Linked DNA regions of Anolis sagrei. Each later gene encodes a partner of the first gene's protein in a complex. Links are inferred from orthologs where the notes say so. Each region holds a gene or a part of one and is shown on either strand. Other genes may lie near its edges. The genes, in order: NCKAP1 and CYFIP2.

Region 1 (9,367 bases):
GTGAGCATTTCTCAAACAACAAACCTTTACCTCAGTGATGTCAAAATGTCAACCCAGAGCTCCGTTGCCATGTGCTTCTGCATTTTTATGTGAATGCAGCTTCATAGTGGTATCTTTTTGATATTTTGAGGTGTAATAAGGGATCACATTGAATGAAATATAGCCCCGGTAACTCAAGGTTGTTTCAAAGATACAACAAAACCTTGCTTCGCAATAGTGGCTGGCTACACACTTACAAAGTGCACCACTTTGTTAAAAAATGGACTGGGGGAGCAGGATGAAGGTGGGTTTTGTGGTGGAATATAAAACAAACCACAAGTTTGTTGGATCAGCCCACACACTGCCTTACCAAGGAAAGAAAATATGCAACGCAGGTGAACAAGTAGTTTACTCTTCTTAATTCAGATCGACATATGTACAATATGATCAGTTGCATCAACTCACTAAATGTCTTTTCAGAGAGATTTAAAATGGTAATTCTTTGTCCATATGAGAGATTTTCTTTTCAGAAGCCAAGAAGCAAATCAGTTTCTCTCTCACTCTGCTTCTCTCTTCCAACTGTCTCTCTGAACACATGCATAGCCTTGAGCCTGAACAAAAGTGCAAGTTTCCAAAAGTTCTAGGCTAAGCCATCACTCCATGCATTGCCCGACCGATTGGCTTCATGCACTTTATTTTACAGTTGACACACACACACTCACTGATTCCTTGCATTTTCTAACAGGTTTCCCATCAAAACTAAAACGTATCACGTCATTGGCAAAACATGGGAAATTTTTTAAAACAGTGACGCGAATACACTGTCAAATGTAAGGTGCACCCAATTTTTAAGCCCCTTGAACAGGAAAGAGTGTCTTGAAATCAATAAAATACAGTATGTTCCTACATGAGTTTAAAAGTAATTGCTCGTCCAACAATTGCATGGATTTTCTTCTTAGCTTCCTGTTTTCATTTTGATTTCCCCACTCCCTAGACATTTTTTCTGATCTTGTACTTTCACCTGCTAGATTGCTAGACTAGTCTACCCAGTTTCATTTTCACATCTACACTTCGGAGGTGGAGAGCAATAATTCTTGGCAGTTGTTCAAAAGCTTTTTAGTATTCCTTGAGTCAGGTGCATTTTTTTACTTTTACATATAACTTGGAAAGGTATGACCTAGTTTCAATATATAAGTATGCCACTAGACTGTGGAATGACCTGCTGGAAGAGATTTGACAGCCAAATGAGCTGTCAGAATTTAAAATTCAATTAAAGACCTATCTCTTCTGGCAGGCCTACCCAGTCAATTTAAATTTACATTTCGTTAGCAAGAACTATTTTAACGTGTTTTAATCTTAAGCCAATATTTTAACATTTGTACTTCCTGTCTGGGGGAGAGTTGATTAGCTGGTCCCGATTGTTTCCTGTCTGGAATTCCCGTTTTTTGAGTGTTGTTCTTTATTTACTGTTATAGTTTTAGAGTTTTTTTTAATACTGGTAGCCAGATTTTGTTCATTTTCATGATTTCCTCCTTTCTGTTGAAATTGTCCACATGCTTGTGGATTTCAATGGCTTCTCTGTGTATTTATTTATTTATTTCATTTACTTATACCCCGCCCTTCTCACCCCGGGGGGGACTCAGGACAGCTTACAGTGGGGGCACAATTAGATGCCCAAGACAATTCACAAGCAGTACAAAATACAAACAATTCAACAATTAATTAAAAACATCAATACATAATAAAATCATAAAGCAATCTCATGCTCAGGGTTCAGAGTCCATATATCCATTCCATTCCATTTGTCCTTGCCATCATCAGATCCTTCAGTTAGCTGTCAGAATGACCAAAGGCTTGTTCCCAGATCCAGGTCTTCAGTTTTTTCCTGAACGCCAAGAGGGAAGATGACGATCTAATCTCCCCGGGGAGTGAGTTCCACAGGTGGGGGGCCACCACTGAGAAGGCCCTGCTCCTCGTCCCCGCCAACCTCACTTGTGAGAGTGGTGGAGTCGAGAGCAGGGCCTCCCCAGAGGATCTTAAGCTTCAAGGTGGGACGTAGAGGGAGATCCGTTCGGACAAATACACTGGGCCGGAACCATATAGGGTTTTGTAGGTCAAAACCAGCACTTTGAATTGTGCTCGGAATTGGATCGGCAGCCAGTGGAGCTGGCGCAACAGGGGGGTTGTATGCTCCCTGTACACCGCTGTGTAGTCTAAAATGGTGGTTGTTAGTGGTCCAACATTTCTGTGTTCTCAGATAATATGCTGTGTCCAGGTTGGTTCATCAGGTGCTCTGCTATGGCTGACTTCTCTGGTTGAAGTAGTCTGCAGTGTCTTTCATGTTCCTTGATTCGTGTCTGGGCAATGCTGCGTTTGGGGGTGCCTTTGTAGACTTGTCCACAGCTGCATGGTATACAGTATACAGGCTCCTGCAGAGGTGAGGATCCCTCTTGTCCTTTGCTGAACATAGTAGCATCTACACCTGCCTCAAGCAGAGAAGAGTTCTTTCTCCCACCCTCGAGATTCCACAAATGTCAGTCAGTGCCAGAATCAATCAGGGCCAGCTTATTTATTTATCGTATCAGAAGCCCGACTGCTCATTGGAGGGAAGGATAGCAGAGGCAAAGATTAAGTACTTTGGCCACATCATGAGAAGGAAGGAAAGCTTAGAGAAGACAATTATGCTGGGGAAAAGGGAAGAGGAGCTGACCAAGGACAAGATGGATGGATGGCACCCTTGAAGTGACTGGGTTGATCTTGAAGGAGCTGGGGGTGGTGACGGCTGACAGGGAGCTCTGGCGTGGACTGGTCCATGAGGTCACAAAGAATTGGAAACGACTGAACGAATGAACAACAACAATCAGAAGTGAACCGAGGGTACAGTTGCAATGTATTTAAAAAACAAAGTTTTAAAAAAACTTAGCATTATTCTAAATATCAGTTGACCAGTAGCTGGCCACTTGGAGTGCCTCTGGTGTTGCTATAAGAAGGTCCTCCATTGTGTATGTGGCAGGGGCTCAGGTTGCATTGTAGTAGGTGGTCTGTGATTTGTTCTTTTCCACACTCACATGTCGTGGACTCCACTTTGTGACTCCACTTCTTAAGATTGGCTCTGCATCTCGTGATGCCAGAGCACAGTCTGCCCAGGAGGAAGTCTCTTATTCGGTATGACTTGAGGTTCTGGGTTTTAACCTGCCACTTTTGGGCTCTTGCTTGCTAAGGTGTTCCTGTGACTCCAATATCTCTGTATATTTTATTTATTTATTTATTTATTTCATATACTTCTCACCCCCGAGGGGGGACTCAGGGCAGCCTCACAGCAAACACAATTCGGTGCCATCATAATGATAAGAACAATCAACAAATTCATTAAAACAAAACATTAAATAAATATCTTCGAAAACTATTTCTTGATTTGGTGTGCTGGCTGATATCTGAACAGGGGATGGGCATTTGTAGGCAAGCTAACACCTCTCAACAAAAGATCCCCCCAGGAAGCAACCAGCCAGGCTTTGAAGCTGCAAGCCCCGGCCCAAATTACCTGTCCGAACGCATCTCCTCCTATGAACCATCACAGAGATTAAGATCCTCAGGGGAGGCCCTGCTTTCCGCCCCGCCATTGTCACAGGCACAATTGGTGGGGACGAGAGACAGGGCCTTCTCGGTGATTGCTCCCCAGCTATGGAACTACCTTCCTGGTGAGATCAGGTCAGCCCTCCTCCTTCCTGTCCTTTAGAAGGATGGTAAAAACTTGGCTGTGGGACCAAGCTTTCGGGACAGGGCAATAAAGCGGCAATAGAAAAGATGACCAATTAGATTTTACACAGATGACTAGGATAGTTTTAAATGGGGTATTTTAACATTTTGATAAATGTTTTTTTTAATGTTTATATATTGTATGTGAATTTGTGTCCCGGCATTGAATGTTTGCCGTATATATGCTGTGCTCCGCCCTGAGTCCCCTTCGGGGTGAGAAGGGCGGAATATAAATGTTTTAAATCTATATAAATAAAAATGTAATGTTCATTTGTCAGCCCATTGTATGCTAATCAAGGTGGTCAGTTGAAAGATTCACACCTAGCCCAAGTTACAAAAGCCTTTTGTCTCACCCTGGTCATTCCACAGATATATAAACCCCTTTTTTCCCCAGTTCCAGCAGACCTCACCTCTGAGGATGCTTGCCATGGATGCAGGCGAAACGTCAGGAGAAATGCCTCTAGAACATGGCCATATAGCCCGAAAAAACCCACAAGAACTGAATGTAATGTTCGTTTGTGATATTAACTCAAAAACCACTGGGGGAATTGACGACAAATTTGGACACAAGGAACCTATCAGGCCAACATATGTCCTTCACCACAAAAAATTGATTTTGTCATTTGGGTGTTGTAGTTGCTGGGATTTATAGTTCACCTACAATCAAAGAGCATTCTGAACCCCACCAATGATGGAATTGAACCAAACTTGGCACACAGTTCTCCCATGACCAACTGAAAATACTGGAAGGGTTTGGTGGGCAATGTCCTTTGGTTTTGAAGTTGTAGTTCACCTACATCAAGAGATCACTGTGCAGTCAAACAATGATAAATCTGGACCAAACTCTACACGAATACTCAATATATCCAAATGTGAACACTGGTAGAGTTTGGGGAAAATAGAATCCTGACATTTGGGAGTTGTAGTTGCTGGGATTTATAGTTCACCTACAATCACAGAGCATTCTGAACCCCACCAATGATAGAATTGGGCCAAACCTCCCACACAGAACCCCCATGTGGGCCACAGCAACGCGTGGCAGGGGATGGCTAGTAAAATAAATAAATAAATGTTAATCAGTGTGGCCAACTGCAACATTCACACTTGCCTCCAACAGACAAGAGTTCTTTCTCCCACCCCGGACCTTCCACGGATATTTAAACCTCCCTTGCTTAGTTTTCAATAGACCTCACAACCTCTGAGGATGCCTGTCATAGATGTGGGCGAAACGCCAGGAGAGAATGCTTCTGGAACATGGCCAGACAGCCCGGAAAACTCACAGCGACCCAGTGATTCCGGCTATAAAAGCCTTCATAATTCGATCCTCAGAATACGAGTAGGAGTTCCACCGCTCTGTCAACCCTGCTACGGGATCCTGGAAGTTGTAGTTTCGGTGGCCCCAGGGCTGTTGGGCGGAGAAGGCGGAGGGAGGCCTGGAGGGACCACAACTCCCAGCAGCCACCGCGCGCGTGCTTTCCTTGGCGCTGTCCCGCCGGAGGGGGCAGCAGAGGGCGGCGTCACGTGGGGCGGAGGAGCCCGGCCTCTCCGTGGGAAGAAGCAGCAGCAGCAGGAACAGAGGCCGGGCTGGAGCCTCTGCTTCTGCCGCCGCCGCCGCCACGCCTAAGGAAGGCAGCCGAGCCTGAGGGAGAGGGGAAGAGAGGAGCAGAGGCGGCGGCGGCCCGGCCATGGCGGCTGCGTGAGGGAAGGCCAGAGGAGGAGGCGGCTGGCTGGCTGGCTGAGTGACTGACTGACGGAGGAGGAGCCGCCGCCTATCGCCCCCGTCCTCCTCCTCCTCCTCTGCTTTCTCTCTCTGTCTCTTCCCTTCTTTCCTCCTCTCTCTGTCTCTCTCTGTCTCCCAGGATGTCGCGCTCGGTGCTGCAGCCCAGTCAGCAGAAGCTGGCCGAGAAGCTCACCATCCTCAACGACCGCGGCGTCGGCATGCTCACGCGCCTCTACAACATCAAGAAGGTGCGCGCGCGTGTGCTGCGTCGTGCGGGGGGGGGGGGGGGGAGGGGAGAGAGAGAAAGGACTCCCTTATCTATCTCAATATATATGTCTGTGTGGAGAAACGGCACTCTATTAATGTGTTATTCTTCCCCCCCTCCCTTCCGCTTCCTCGCGCCGCCATTAGCGTAACCTGCTCGGCTCTCCTTTGGCTCGCGCCCACTCTTCCGCCCTCCCCTCTCTCTCCCGGCGCGCGGGCCTCGACAGCGTTCGTTTCCCAAGCATTTTATATAGACGTATATTATATACACACACACACGGATAGATACGGGGAAGGGGGCTCGCGCGGAGGGGCGGGGCTTAGCTCTGGAATCTTGAGGAGGGGAGGTGTTCTCTCTCTTTCTCTCCTCCCCCCCTCCTTTTCCTCCATTAGTCAGCGAGGCTGTGTTTGGCTCTGAGGCGGAGGCCCTGTGTTTCTTCAGCCCTCTTCCACACAGCTGACTAAAACCCCACATTCTCTGCTTTGAACTGGGATATGTGGCAGCGTGGACTCAGATATCCTGCCTTAATGTTCTGGGTTATATGGCTGTGTGGAAGGGCCTCGAGAGAAGCTGTTTGAGGGCCCTTCCTTCCACACAGCCCTATATGCCAGAATATCAAGGCAGAAAATCCCACATTATCTGACAGTGGAGTCAGATAACTCAGTTCAAAGCAGATATTGTGGGATTTTCTGCCTTGATATTCTGGGTCATGGGCTGCATGGAAAGGCCCTTAGTTATATGACAGTGTGGACGCTTGACAACCCAGGACCCTTCCACACAGCCCTGTATCCCAGAATATCAAGGCAGAAAATCCCACATTATCTGAATGTGGATTCAGATAACCCAGTTCAAAGCAGATATTGTGGGATTTTCTGCCTTGATAATCTGGCACATAGGGCTGTGTGGAAGGGTCCTTAGTTATATGACAGTGTGGACTCTTGACAACCCAGGGCCCTTCCACACAGTCATATAACCCAGATTATCTGCTTTGAACTGGGATATCTGAGTCCACACTGCCACATATTCCCATTCAAGCCAGAAAATGTGGGGTTTTATTCAGCTGTGTGGAAGGGACCCCACTTCCAAGCAGATATTGTGGGATTTTCTGCCTTGATATTCTGGGATATAGGGCTGTGTGGAAGGACTCTGAGTCCACACTACCATTTATTCCAGCTCAAAGCAGAAAAATGTGGGATTTTATTAAGCTGTGTGGGGTCCTTCCACACAGCCTTATATGCCAGAATTTCAAGGCAGAAAATCCCTCAATATCTGATTTGAACTGGATTATCTGAGTCCACACTCAGATAATGTGGGATTTTCTGCCTTGAAATTCTGGGATATAGGACTGTGTGGAAGGGCCCAGGAAGGGGCCTCAGATAATCCTGTTCAAAGCAGATATTGTGGATGGTTTGCCTAGATATTCTGGGTTATATGGCTGTATGGAAGGGCCCTCAGTTGTTTCTATCAATCTCCCTTTGTGGGGATTTGCATACACAAGGCCTGGGCCGGATGTACCGTTTAGTTCTCACCATCTGGTTGTTCCTCTGGAAAAAGGAAGCAGCCAGGATGTGTTGTGGTAAGGGAGAACCATTTCCTCTTTTTCCCAATTCTGAAAATCCAAGACTCCAGATTTGTTTTTTGTTTTTTAAAAGAAATGGATTCAGCAGGGATGGCTGCCTCCATATCTAACATGTAATTAAAAATGTCTTCTCTTGTATGCGGAAATAAGGAAGATCCCCTACAGCGTATAGGAAGCCTACACTTTTTCTCATTCCCACCTCACCTTGTGAGTCATGCAGCTGACTTGAGGGAGAAAATGACATGCTCTTGCTATAGTTCTCTGAATAGACACGCATCCTTTTTTTTCCAGTTTGAAGGGGAAAAAGCTTCCAGGGAATGTTTTCAGATGGTTCGCTATGTGAACATTTGTTCCAAGGATTAGGTAGCAGCTGTTCTTCTACCCAAGGGAAGGAGATATTTTCATGAAGAAAAGAGAAAGATTTGTGATCAGTTAAAATTCTAAACCGATGCGTTACAATAATCAGCGTGCCACTAGAAATACTTCCTTCCCAATGTAATATATCTGTGACATTTCTGTTGAGACTTAATTGATCTGGAAAACCAAAACCAACAGCGTATGAGATCGTTTCTTTTCATAATTTCACCCAGTGTATTGTACTGTATGAACACATATATTAAAGGTTGTTTTTGTGGTTTGGGTGCAGTTCAAAAACTAGTGGACATTTATGTAGCCGAGTCTATCAAACTTGTATTCAAGTAATTAGCATTTTTATCTGAATGTATTCATTTTAAAAACATTGTCCCATGAATGGATATTTTCTTACCACAGCAGAGTTTCCTTGATGTTGTTTTCAATTTCTGCATAAGTTTCAAGAGCAAGTTTTGATTTTTGTGCCTGTGACTTTTCATTGCTGCTGTACTTCCAAGCAGTGCTGGATTAGGTGGATTAATGAGTGATACAGGGCACAATCATGTTCATATTTACATATACAGGCAGTCCCCGAGATACAAACATCCGACTTAAAACAACTCAGTTGACAAGGGGGGAGAGACAACAGGAAGTGAGATAATCTACCTGTTGGAAGAGAAATTCACTCCTGGAAGAGTTATCATGGAGAACAGGGGTCTTCATTGAAGCTTTCTCACCAATCCTTGTTTCCCCAACAAGCCAAAGTTTTCAAAATCCAATTATCACAGGGACAGAAAGTGAGGTCAAATCTTCTGAACAAGCAGCAAAACAAACACCACAAGAGTGTTAACCCTTCCCTGAGCTATCCAAAAATAAATATTTCTGGCTGGTGTTACACTTGTACCTGTTCCAAATTACAAACAAATTCAACTTAACAAACTTACAGAATCTTATATTGTTCATAACTTGAGAACTAGAACAGGGGTTCATTTGGCCTTTTTTCCTCAGGAAAATAGGCACACATTCTGAAGCATAAAAAAAATTAAAGATTCCTCTATATAAATTAATTTGCCACTATTAAGAGATCCTGAACAGACACTCTTAATTTGTAATGGGAAAATAGTTCATGTGCTTTCAGTAAAAGGAAAAGATAAAGATTTTTCCAGTCAAAAGTGTGTTGCATAAATTTGACTTTTACAAAGAGTTAAAACTGCTCTAATGAAAATATGTCTGGTACTAAAGCTTCATTAGTACATTATGCAGTGTGTACTCATGTACCTGCAGTTTAACATATAACAAAATATGTTCCCTCTAGGAATTTTCTTGGCCCTCCAGGCGATTCTGTGGTATGCTTCCACCAGAAGTTAACAGAAGAGTTGTAATGAAATATCTAGTAAATTCCGTGAGAGTATACCTCCCTAGTTCTATGTCTTCCATAGTGAGTCTATGATAACAGAAGGTACTCATTTTGGTAGGGTTTGCTATTATTCACAGCTTCTGGTTCTATAGTAAGTTCAGGAACATATCACCTGCAGTAACTGCTGGTATATACGGTAATTTTCTAACCCACCTGTGGCAAGTAAGAGCTGTTTCTGGGAGATCAAATGTACAAACTTGAGAAAAGCTTCTTTTTTTTAAAAAAAAAAAAACCAGCATGTTACAAATTGCTAACTTAATTGCATATGATGTGGCTTAGGATTACTAACCAATAAGGCTG
Region 2 (9,167 bases), on another chromosome or scaffold:
ATCCAATGCAGTTTTCTGAATCAGCACTCCAAAAAACCAAACTGAATCTAAAGTTGACCAAAAACTGATTCATAACCCAATTGGTACTAACATTGGAAAGTGGTCCCTGGTCAGAGTGGTCCCTGGTCAAGTGGTCTTTGGTCAAAAAAAGGATGGGAACCATTGTTCTATAAGAACACCAATTGTAGACTCCTCGGCTAAAGGAGGTCTGTCTGGTTCCATGTATACTCACCTTTGAGCAAGCAGTGAAAGGGGTTGTCTCTTTCTTAGCAAGAGGTTTGTCTCTTTCCTAGCGAGACTGTAGTTGAATAGCATTTGTATTTAATGTTTGTAAAGGTTTGATGCTGTGATTTTCTTTTATAAACTGTGTGCATTTCATCAATATGAATTCCACTTTGAGCATTTTAAGGATGTAAAATAATGGAGGAAATTACCAAGAAATAACAAGATAAATATAACATGCTTATAAAATAAAAGAAAAAATATTTATAGATTACTGATTGGACTGACTAAGGAGTAATGAGCTTTTATAATTTTTCATGTAAATACTAACTTCATTTATGTTTTAATATATGTTTTGTAGGTCTTTTATTAAAATAATTATTTTTATTCTTATATATCCAAGTGACCTTAAAATGAGAATTTTATAATAAACACTTGTTCTGCCAGGACAGCTATGTCCATAGCAGAGGTCTGTATGTAAATTTCCTTTGTGTAAATTTCCTTTGTCCATCTGCATCACAATATGCTGAATTTGCTGCATGTGTCTTGCAATGCTAGCAAAGCCATGTATTCACATCCAGGACCACCTATTATTGCTAATATTAACTCACTGAGCACAGCTATAACTGCATTAAGGTCTAAACTTTGATAACTCTCATAAGTACAAGCTTCAAGGTAATGACTGGATTTAGAGAGCATTTAGAGGTATCTTGACATTCTATTGAAAACAGATTATATAGTAATCACATGCCTCTCATAATTATATGGAGAAAACAGCTTCTTCAAGTTCAGAAACATGATTGGCACTAGGCACACAGCTGGGCAATTTAAAAATTACTCTGCAACAAAGTAGAGGACATCAAGAATTTTTACTCTAGTCAAATGCAATAGTGTTATGTTCAAAATACACTGGAAACAAGCTTGTTAAGGCAATTTTCTATTGCTGTCTTCATTTTGCTGTGTGGCACAGCTCCCTTTTTATTGTACTTTCATCACTGGTAGCAGCAATACTAAGAAGATGTGAGCCAATATTCTCCACCATTTCTTTCTGTCTTTACTTAGATGTTAAATATATGGCCATCATTTACTGCTTGTAATTTGAGAACCTAGGCTGCTTTGTCAGATTTTCACTTCTGTTCCTCTCAATGGTGAGAATAGTATTCTGAAATACCACTCACACTCCACTCTATGTATCTGAGAAAATAGACGTAATCTATCTTTTAGAAGATGTAACTTCTTTTATTTACTGATGTAAGATCCCTTTGCACAGTAACACTCTAGACAACTAGCAAAACTTGTAAATTATTCTCATTTTTTTTTGCTGAAATATGCTTGAAAGTTCACTGATCTTGATCATAGTAATTGAAAGATTGTAAATGACCTCTCCTGCTTAGAAATGTCATGACATTTATTCCAGTTCATAATCCAAAATGTTCAGGCTCCTACCCAATGAACATTTATGAATATATTTAGCTTTGTGTAAGGAGGATAGAATGCATACCCATTATGGCTAATAGGATTATTCATCCACATAAAGAAAAACCTGTAAATCTTTTCAAGGTTACTCTTAGATTAATTCTTTTTCCCCAGCGTACTGTAGTGTGAGATTTAAATTGCCATAAGGCTTGGTTCTGGAAGCAGTAAGAAATCAAATATAGGAATATTGGTATTTTCGTGTACTGACAAAATTCGTGTACTGAGCCCATATTGAAAATATAACATCCTAACTACAGATTGTCCTCTGTAACCAAACTTGGATGGAAATTATCTTATAAACAGAAAAATGCAGTCAATGTCTGTAGACTGCCACACAAGCAAGAAAGAAGAACCAAAAGCACTCTATATGATGTAATCTGATTTATTATTGTTACTGGACAACCTCAGATGCTTCAAGTCAACAGGCTGTATAATAACTACGAACACAAATCCTTGTAATGGTGCCTGACCGAAGCCAGGGTGGAAAGTTTCTGTGTATTATTCTGTTCTATATCAGAAGAACCACTTCATTATCACCATGTCTTCTGCTCTCTATTTCCATTCCATCTTTAAGGAAATTAGGAGATCTCATGGCCACCAAGCAACCTGCCATTTTTGAATTAAATACAACCCCCCCCCCCCCAAAAACAAAACATGAAGTCACAATCAAATGGTCTTTTCCGTAATAACATGACATGAGTGATGAGTGGGACCCAGATGTCCAAAATATATAGAATCACAGTGTTGGAAGAGACCACAAGGTCCATCTAGTCAGGCATGTAGCCGGGGGGGGGGGGGGGGCTTGAGGGGCTTCAGCCCCCCACCCTCCCGAAATTCTCATGGTGGTTCACGAAAAGGCCTTACTGGTGCATTATTTAAACTGTTATGTTTATTCATATCATGATCTGATCACCATACTCAATATATTCCATATGCATGGGGGTATTGGGGTAACGATACAAAAGGTTTGCTAGGGTAGAGCCTCTTTCACTCAGACTCAGCCCCCCCCCCCCCCCGAATCGAATTCCTGGCTACGGGCCTGCATCTAGTAGTCCAATGCTCTGCCATGCAGAAATATACAAAAGCACTGCTAAAAGATGCCTATCCAATCTCTGTTTAAAGATCCCCAAGATGCGGAATCCACCACCCCAACACCAGTTCATTCCACAATCAAATAGCTCTTAAGAGTTTCTTCCAAATGTTTAGATGCAATCCATTTTCTTGTAATTTGAACCCATTGGTTCATGTTGGTTCATGTTCTAGTGTCCAAAGGAGTAAAATATGACCTTGATGCATGTGAACAAATATGTGTCTGAAGCCATACAGCTCTCTGAAGTGAGTTGGGAAACAGAACAGAAGGCAATGCAACTATCAGAAGGTGTTGGTCAGGTCAAATCGGGATCTTAGCAATGCAAGAGCTGTACCTGCTGAGTTGAGAGCCAGTATGGTGCATTGGTTTGGGCACTGAGCTAGGATTCTAGTAGCAGACCAGTGCCCGAATCCCCCTTGATCATGGAAACTCACTGACTGACCTTGGGCAAGTTACTCTTTCTGAGCCTCAGAGGAAGGCAAAGCCAAATCCTTCTCTGAGGAAATCTTGCCAAGAAAATCCCATGATTGATTTGCCTGAGGGTTGCCATAAACTGACAATGATTTTGAGGCACACAACAACAACAACAACAACAACAACAACAACAACAACTGATTAAGCTGTAATTCCAACCTGGTTTTAAAGGAAACATCATGCAACTTACTTGTCGTATCAGATCTGGCAATTACCAGAGCATGGATACTCTCAGATTTTCTCTTATAGTATTTATTGACAGAATAACCTTTCATACTGTAGTAGATGCTTAGTTACCTTAGTTCGGGCACTGAATGTTTGCCATACTTGTTGGAAACTATCCTGAGTCCCTTCAGGGAGATAGGGAAGTCTATAAATAAAGATTATAATTATAATAATTATTTACCTGGAACTCAAGCAACCAGAATTCTCAATCAACTAGCAAAATATCTAAGAATTAATACTTTAAATCAAAATTTAAATAAAATATTTTTTGCAGAAATTTTACATTCAATTTGTCTTTGTTTGCTTTTCATTACTGTATTTCAATATGAATACCAAGTCAGTACAAAGTTTATGGTATGGTCTCATACTATTGGTCTCATACTATTGGGTATAGTATGAGACCAATTTTTAATAGCAACTCTCAAGCAATTGAAAAATACACCTACCAATCCTGATGGGTGCTGGTTCACCGAGGCCCCTTCTACACTGCTGTTTTGAACAGGATTGTAACTGGATTATGAGTCTGCACTGCCAGATAATCTAGGATAAACAGAAAGCCTATGATCAGATTCTGGGATATAGGGCTTGTCTGGAAGGGCCCTGAGTCTATAAGGAATAAGTCATATATCAGGCATCCTCAAACTGTGGCCCTCCAGCTGTTTGGGCCTTCAACTCCCAGAATTCCTGACAATTGAACAAGCTCATTAGGGCTTCTGGGAGTTGGAGGCCCAAACAGCTGGAGGGCCACAGTTGAGGATGCCTGTCATATATTTTTAAAAGAACATACATAAATGAAAGGCTTCCATGAGATATGTTGCATTCCCGTACGTTTTGTTATTACTATTGATGTAAGGGTCCGTACCTCTTACGAGAGGTTGATTTGACCTCTGGTTTGCTAGTAAAATGAATCACAGTGTTGTGAAATGATCCATGTCTGAAAAGGCTGACATATTTGGAAAACTCTGGTCTACTACTTCCAGACAGGCCAGGATCTGATCCCAGGATTTCTGCTTGAAACTGCATTATAAGAGTCCATACTGCCAGATAATCTGGGATAAAGGGAAAACCTGAGATCAGATCCTGGGATATATAGGGCCTGTCTGGAAGGGCCACAGGAGGACAAGATCTGCCCATGTGAAGCAGGAGGAGGGAGCCAGGTCATGTTTCAAAGGTGAAAGGTGCAAAGGTCCACCAACATTTCATCCATGGGTTATTAGGATATATATAACCCAGAATATCTGCTTTGAACTGGGTTATCTGAGGGCTGTTCCACACAGCTGAATAAAATCCCACATTTTCTGCTTTGAATTGGAATGCATGGCAGTGTGGACTCAGATAACCCAGGACCCTTCCACACAGCTCTATATCCCAGAATATCAAAGCATAAAATCCCACAATATCTCCTTTGAAGTGAGATATCTGAAAATACCACATTATCGGAGCGTAGACGCAATTAACCCAATTCAAAGCAGATCTTGTGGGATTTTCTGCCTTGATATTCTGGGATATAGGGCTGTGTGGAAGGGCCTAAGTCTCTGCCTTTGGTTTAAGCCGGTTCTTCTCTGGAGCTGAATGACCACCCATCTCCTATTGTCTGCCGAACAGGTGGAGCTCCCTCTGGAGCCAGGGTCAAGAGTGGAGCAGGCTGGACACGTGTCTATGCGTGTTTGTGTGAATGTGTGCAGAGCCAGCCTTCCCCTCCTCCTCCTCCTCCTGAGAGCGGGGGGGGGGGGGCGATGCATTGAGAGCCCAGCAAGCCCATAGGCTGCGGCCATTTCCTAGCTCTGTCGGTGCGAAAGGGAGAGAGAGAGGGAGGGGAGAGGCACGCACACGCGTCCATATGCCCACACAAATACACTGAGGCAGCGGCAGCAAGAAAAGGAAGCGGGGAGAGGAGGAGGAGGAGGAGGAGGAGGAGGCGGCGAGGGCTTTGGCGGCGGCTGAGGAGGAGGAGGAGGAGGAGACTGCGGCGGCGCTGGAGCATCTCTGCCTCTTCCCCGGCCGCATCCCGGCGCTTCTGAAGTCCATCCGCAGAGGGCCGGACTCAGCCTCCCAGGTAAAGAAGAGGCGCCCAGAGGGTTGGGGAGAGAGAGGGAGAGGCAGGCTGCAGAAAGAGGGGGAGGAGGAGGAGGCCAAGCAAGGCTAGGAAGCTCAGTATGGAGGGAGGGAAGGCTAGGGAAACGACGGGCCGAAAGCGCAGGTGCTGCGGATGCGCCTTCTCTGTCTAACGGAGAGAAACAGGGACACCCCGCTCTTCTCTTCCATCTCTTTCCCCCGGGTGCCGTGTGATGAGAAAAGGAAGCCGCCGGTGGGCTCGGGGAAGGCTGTCACAGCCTGGGCTGAAGGGCGAGGCTGCCATGATTGGAGCCTCCCGGCAACAGGCTTCTCCTCCTCCTCCTCCTCTTCTTCTTCCAGAGGTGCTTCATTCTGCCTTCGCTTCGGGTATTTTCCCCCCGAAGCGAGCGGGGGAGGCGGCGGAGCAGGCGCAGGTGCCGCTGTCCTTCTCCTCCTCCTCCAGCCTTTGGGCCCCAACCAAGGAAAGGCTTTTCTGAGAGATCTCCCAGAATGCTCCGAGCTACCTGGGCTCTTCCCCGCCGCCTTATTTGTGAGAGCGCACCCAGCCAGGAGCGTGTGATCATGCAGCCCTCCTGCTGGGAGAGAGAGAGAGAGAGAGAGAGGAGGGTGGAGAAGATGGGAGCGTCTCTGGTCCCTTCCACACAGCCCTAGATCCCAGAATATCAAGGCAGAAAATCCCACATTATCAGAGTGGAGACTCAGATTACCCAGTTCAAAGCAAATATTGTGGGATTTTCTGCCTTGATATTCTGGGATGCGGGGCTGTGTGGATGAGCCCTCACAGTTCAAAGCAAATACAGTGTTCCCTCACTTATCGTGGGGGTTCCATTCCAGGACCACCCACGATAAGTGAAAATCCACAAAGAGGGATGCCACATTAATTTTAATATTTATACATTATTTTATATATATTATATATTATTTTCTTATCCACCTCCCAGCCCATCCCAAGGCCTGCCTCCCTGGCCTCCGCAGACCGCAGCAGATCCTTCAGAGCCATGCAGGCAGCAGCAGGCCAGGAAGGCAGGCCTTCCTCACCGCACCCCAGGCTGCCACACTTACGGGATCTGTGGAGGCCAGGGAGGCAGGCCTTCCCCACCGCGCTTCAGGCCACCACACTTCCAAGGTTCCTGGCCTCCACTGGATGTAAATATTTTGTATTTTATATTAATATTTTCAAAAACCCACAAAACAGCGAGTCCACTAAAAGCGAACCGCAAAGTTGCAAGAGAACACTGTATTGTGGGATCTACTGCCTTGATATTCTGGGATGTAGGGCTGTGTGGAAGGGCCCTCACATAACCCAGTTCAAAGCAAATATTGTGTGGTTTTCTGCCTTGATATTCTGGCATATAGGGCTGTGTAGAAGGGCCCTCTCTCTCAGGGCTTCTCCAGGAAACACAGTGCCTGTTGGCGCTCCATACAACCCTCCTCAAGTTGGAAGAGAGCAAAGCCACCATCCAGCAGACTGCAGGGACACCCAGGCCCCGTCCACACTGCCATATAACACACTGCCAATTTCAGATCCAAGATTATTTGCTTTGAAATGAGTTATATAATAATAATAATAATAATAATTTAATTTAATTTAATTTTAATTTAAGGTCAGTGCAGATCCAGCCCTGGTCAAATCCAAATTGGATTTAGTTGAGTAATGGCTTTGAGGATCACATCTGAGCTCAACAGTGAATCAGTAATGTTATCATTGGGTGCATTTACACCAGCCATGGGCCAACTTGGACCCTCCAGGTGTTTTGGACTTCAACTCCCACAATTCCTAACAGCCTCGGGAGTCGGGACCTTTCCTTTTCCCCCTCAGCTGCTTAAACGTCTGAGGGGGCAAAAGAAAAGAGCCTGAGGCTGTTAGGAATTATGGGAGTTGAAGTCCAAAACACCTGGAGGGCCCAAGCTTGCCTATGCCTGATCTACACTGTGGAATAAATACAGTTGGACAATACTTTAACTGGTATGGCTCAATGCTATGGAATCACGGGAGTTGTAGTTTTGCAAGGTCAATAGCCTTCTCTGCCAGTGGTGCCTCACCCAATCACCTCTCCCAGGATTCCATAACATTCAGCCAAGTGGTGTCAAACTGCATTGTTTCTATAGTGTGGATGCACCCTATGGAACACAATGGCTATTGAGTCTCCAGATTGGGTTGGTTTTGGGGTTCACATCTGAGCTCTGCAGTCGACCGGCAATGTTGCCATTGTGTGTGCGTGTGTGAAGTTGGAAAAACAGAAGGTGTGGTGCCTAGTCACAAATAGATCCGGGTGTGGGAGGTAAATGGAAAATGTTCAAAGGGAAATGATTTGGATTCACAGCTGGAGTGCGCATTCTCCAAACTGAAAAATAAAGATGACAAAAGTGGTGGAAGTGAAGAATTGAATAAATAAGCAGCCATGTAAAAATATTTTCTGAAACGGGGAAAGAAAGGTTTAGAGTAGAGCTTTCCAAACTGTGTGTCATGACATGTGAAGTCTGTCAGCTGCAGAGTGTAGGTGTGTCATGTGAACTTAAGAAACCTCTGAGTCTATGGGAAATGATCAATAAATCATATTTTAAAAAATATAAATGAAAATTGTTCATGAGATATGCTGTTTGTACCATGCATTTCAGTACTGCAATTTATGTACGTGTCTGAATCTCTTATAAGAAGTTTGTTTAACCTCTGGTTTGCTAGTGAAACTGAATTACTGTGTCATGAAAAGATGCATGTCTATTAGTGTGTAGTCAACACGAAATGGTTGGAAAGATCTGGTTTAGAGCCACTGAGAATTAAGGTTGATTTCAAATTTGTGCAGCTCTGCACAAACATTGTTTGGAGCTGAGCAATAAAAAAAAAACAAGCATGGTTTTCCAGTTATTTCCTTCCCATGTCATTTTACATTTATCCCTCTTAATACATTAAAACAATATTATATAGCAGGGGTTGCTGTGAGTTTTACGAGCTGTATGGCTACATTCCAGAAGCATTCTCTCCTGATGTTTTGCTCACACCTGTGCCAGGCATCCTCAGAGATTGAGGGGTCAGTTGGAAACTAGGCAAGTGGGGTTTTATATATCTGTGGAATGTCCAGGGTGGGAGAAAGAACTCTTGTCTGTTGGAGGCAAGTGTGAATGTTGCAATTGGCCAACTTGATTAGCATTGAATGGTCTTGTAGCTTCAAAGCCTGTCTGCTTCCTGCCTGGGGGAATCCTGTGTTGGGAAGTGTTAACTGGCCTTGATTGTTTCCTGTCTGGAATTCCCCTGTTTTATGAGTGCTGCTCTTTATTTACTGACCTGGTTTTAGAATTTTTTTAATACTGATTTTGTTCATTTTCATGGTTTCCTCCTTTCTGCTGAAATTGTCCACATGCTTGTGGCTTCTCTGAAATGGTGGTTGTTAGAGTGGTCTAGCATTTATGTGCTGTCAAATAATATGGTGTGTCCAGGTTGGTTCATCAAGTGGCTGACTTCTAATTTCCAACAGACCTCACAAACTCTCAGAATGCTTGCCATAGCTGTGGGCAAAATGTCAGGAGAGAATGCTTCTGGAACATGGCCATACAGTCCAGAAAACTCACAGCAACTCAGTGATTCCAGCCATGAAAGCCTTCAACA

What was found.
Region 2: NCKAP1 (region 1) and CYFIP2 share a complex: the UniProt entries of both Homo sapiens proteins name them as parts of the WAVE1 complex. The link is inferred for Anolis sagrei from reciprocal best matches to the Homo sapiens genes NCKAP1 and CYFIP2.

The regions. Positions count from the first base shown.
Region 1 is NC_090021.1:187,185,992-187,195,358, forward strand, and holds the start of NCKAP1 (nck-associated protein 1), read left to right. Parts: upstream 1-5,244; 5' UTR 5,245-5,595; coding exon 5,596-5,703; intron 5,704-9,367. UniProt on the Homo sapiens protein: Part of the WAVE complex that regulates lamellipodia formation. The WAVE complex regulates actin filament reorganization via its interaction with the Arp2/3 complex. Actin remodeling activity is regulated by RAC1.
Region 2 is NC_090022.1:80,528,336-80,537,502, reverse strand, and holds the start of CYFIP2 (cytoplasmic FMR1-interacting protein 2), read left to right. Parts: upstream 1-5,420; 5' UTR 5,421-5,543; intron 5,544-9,167. UniProt on the Homo sapiens protein: Involved in T-cell adhesion and p53/TP53-dependent induction of apoptosis. Does not bind RNA. As component of the WAVE1 complex, required for BDNF-NTRK2 endocytic trafficking and signaling from early endosomes.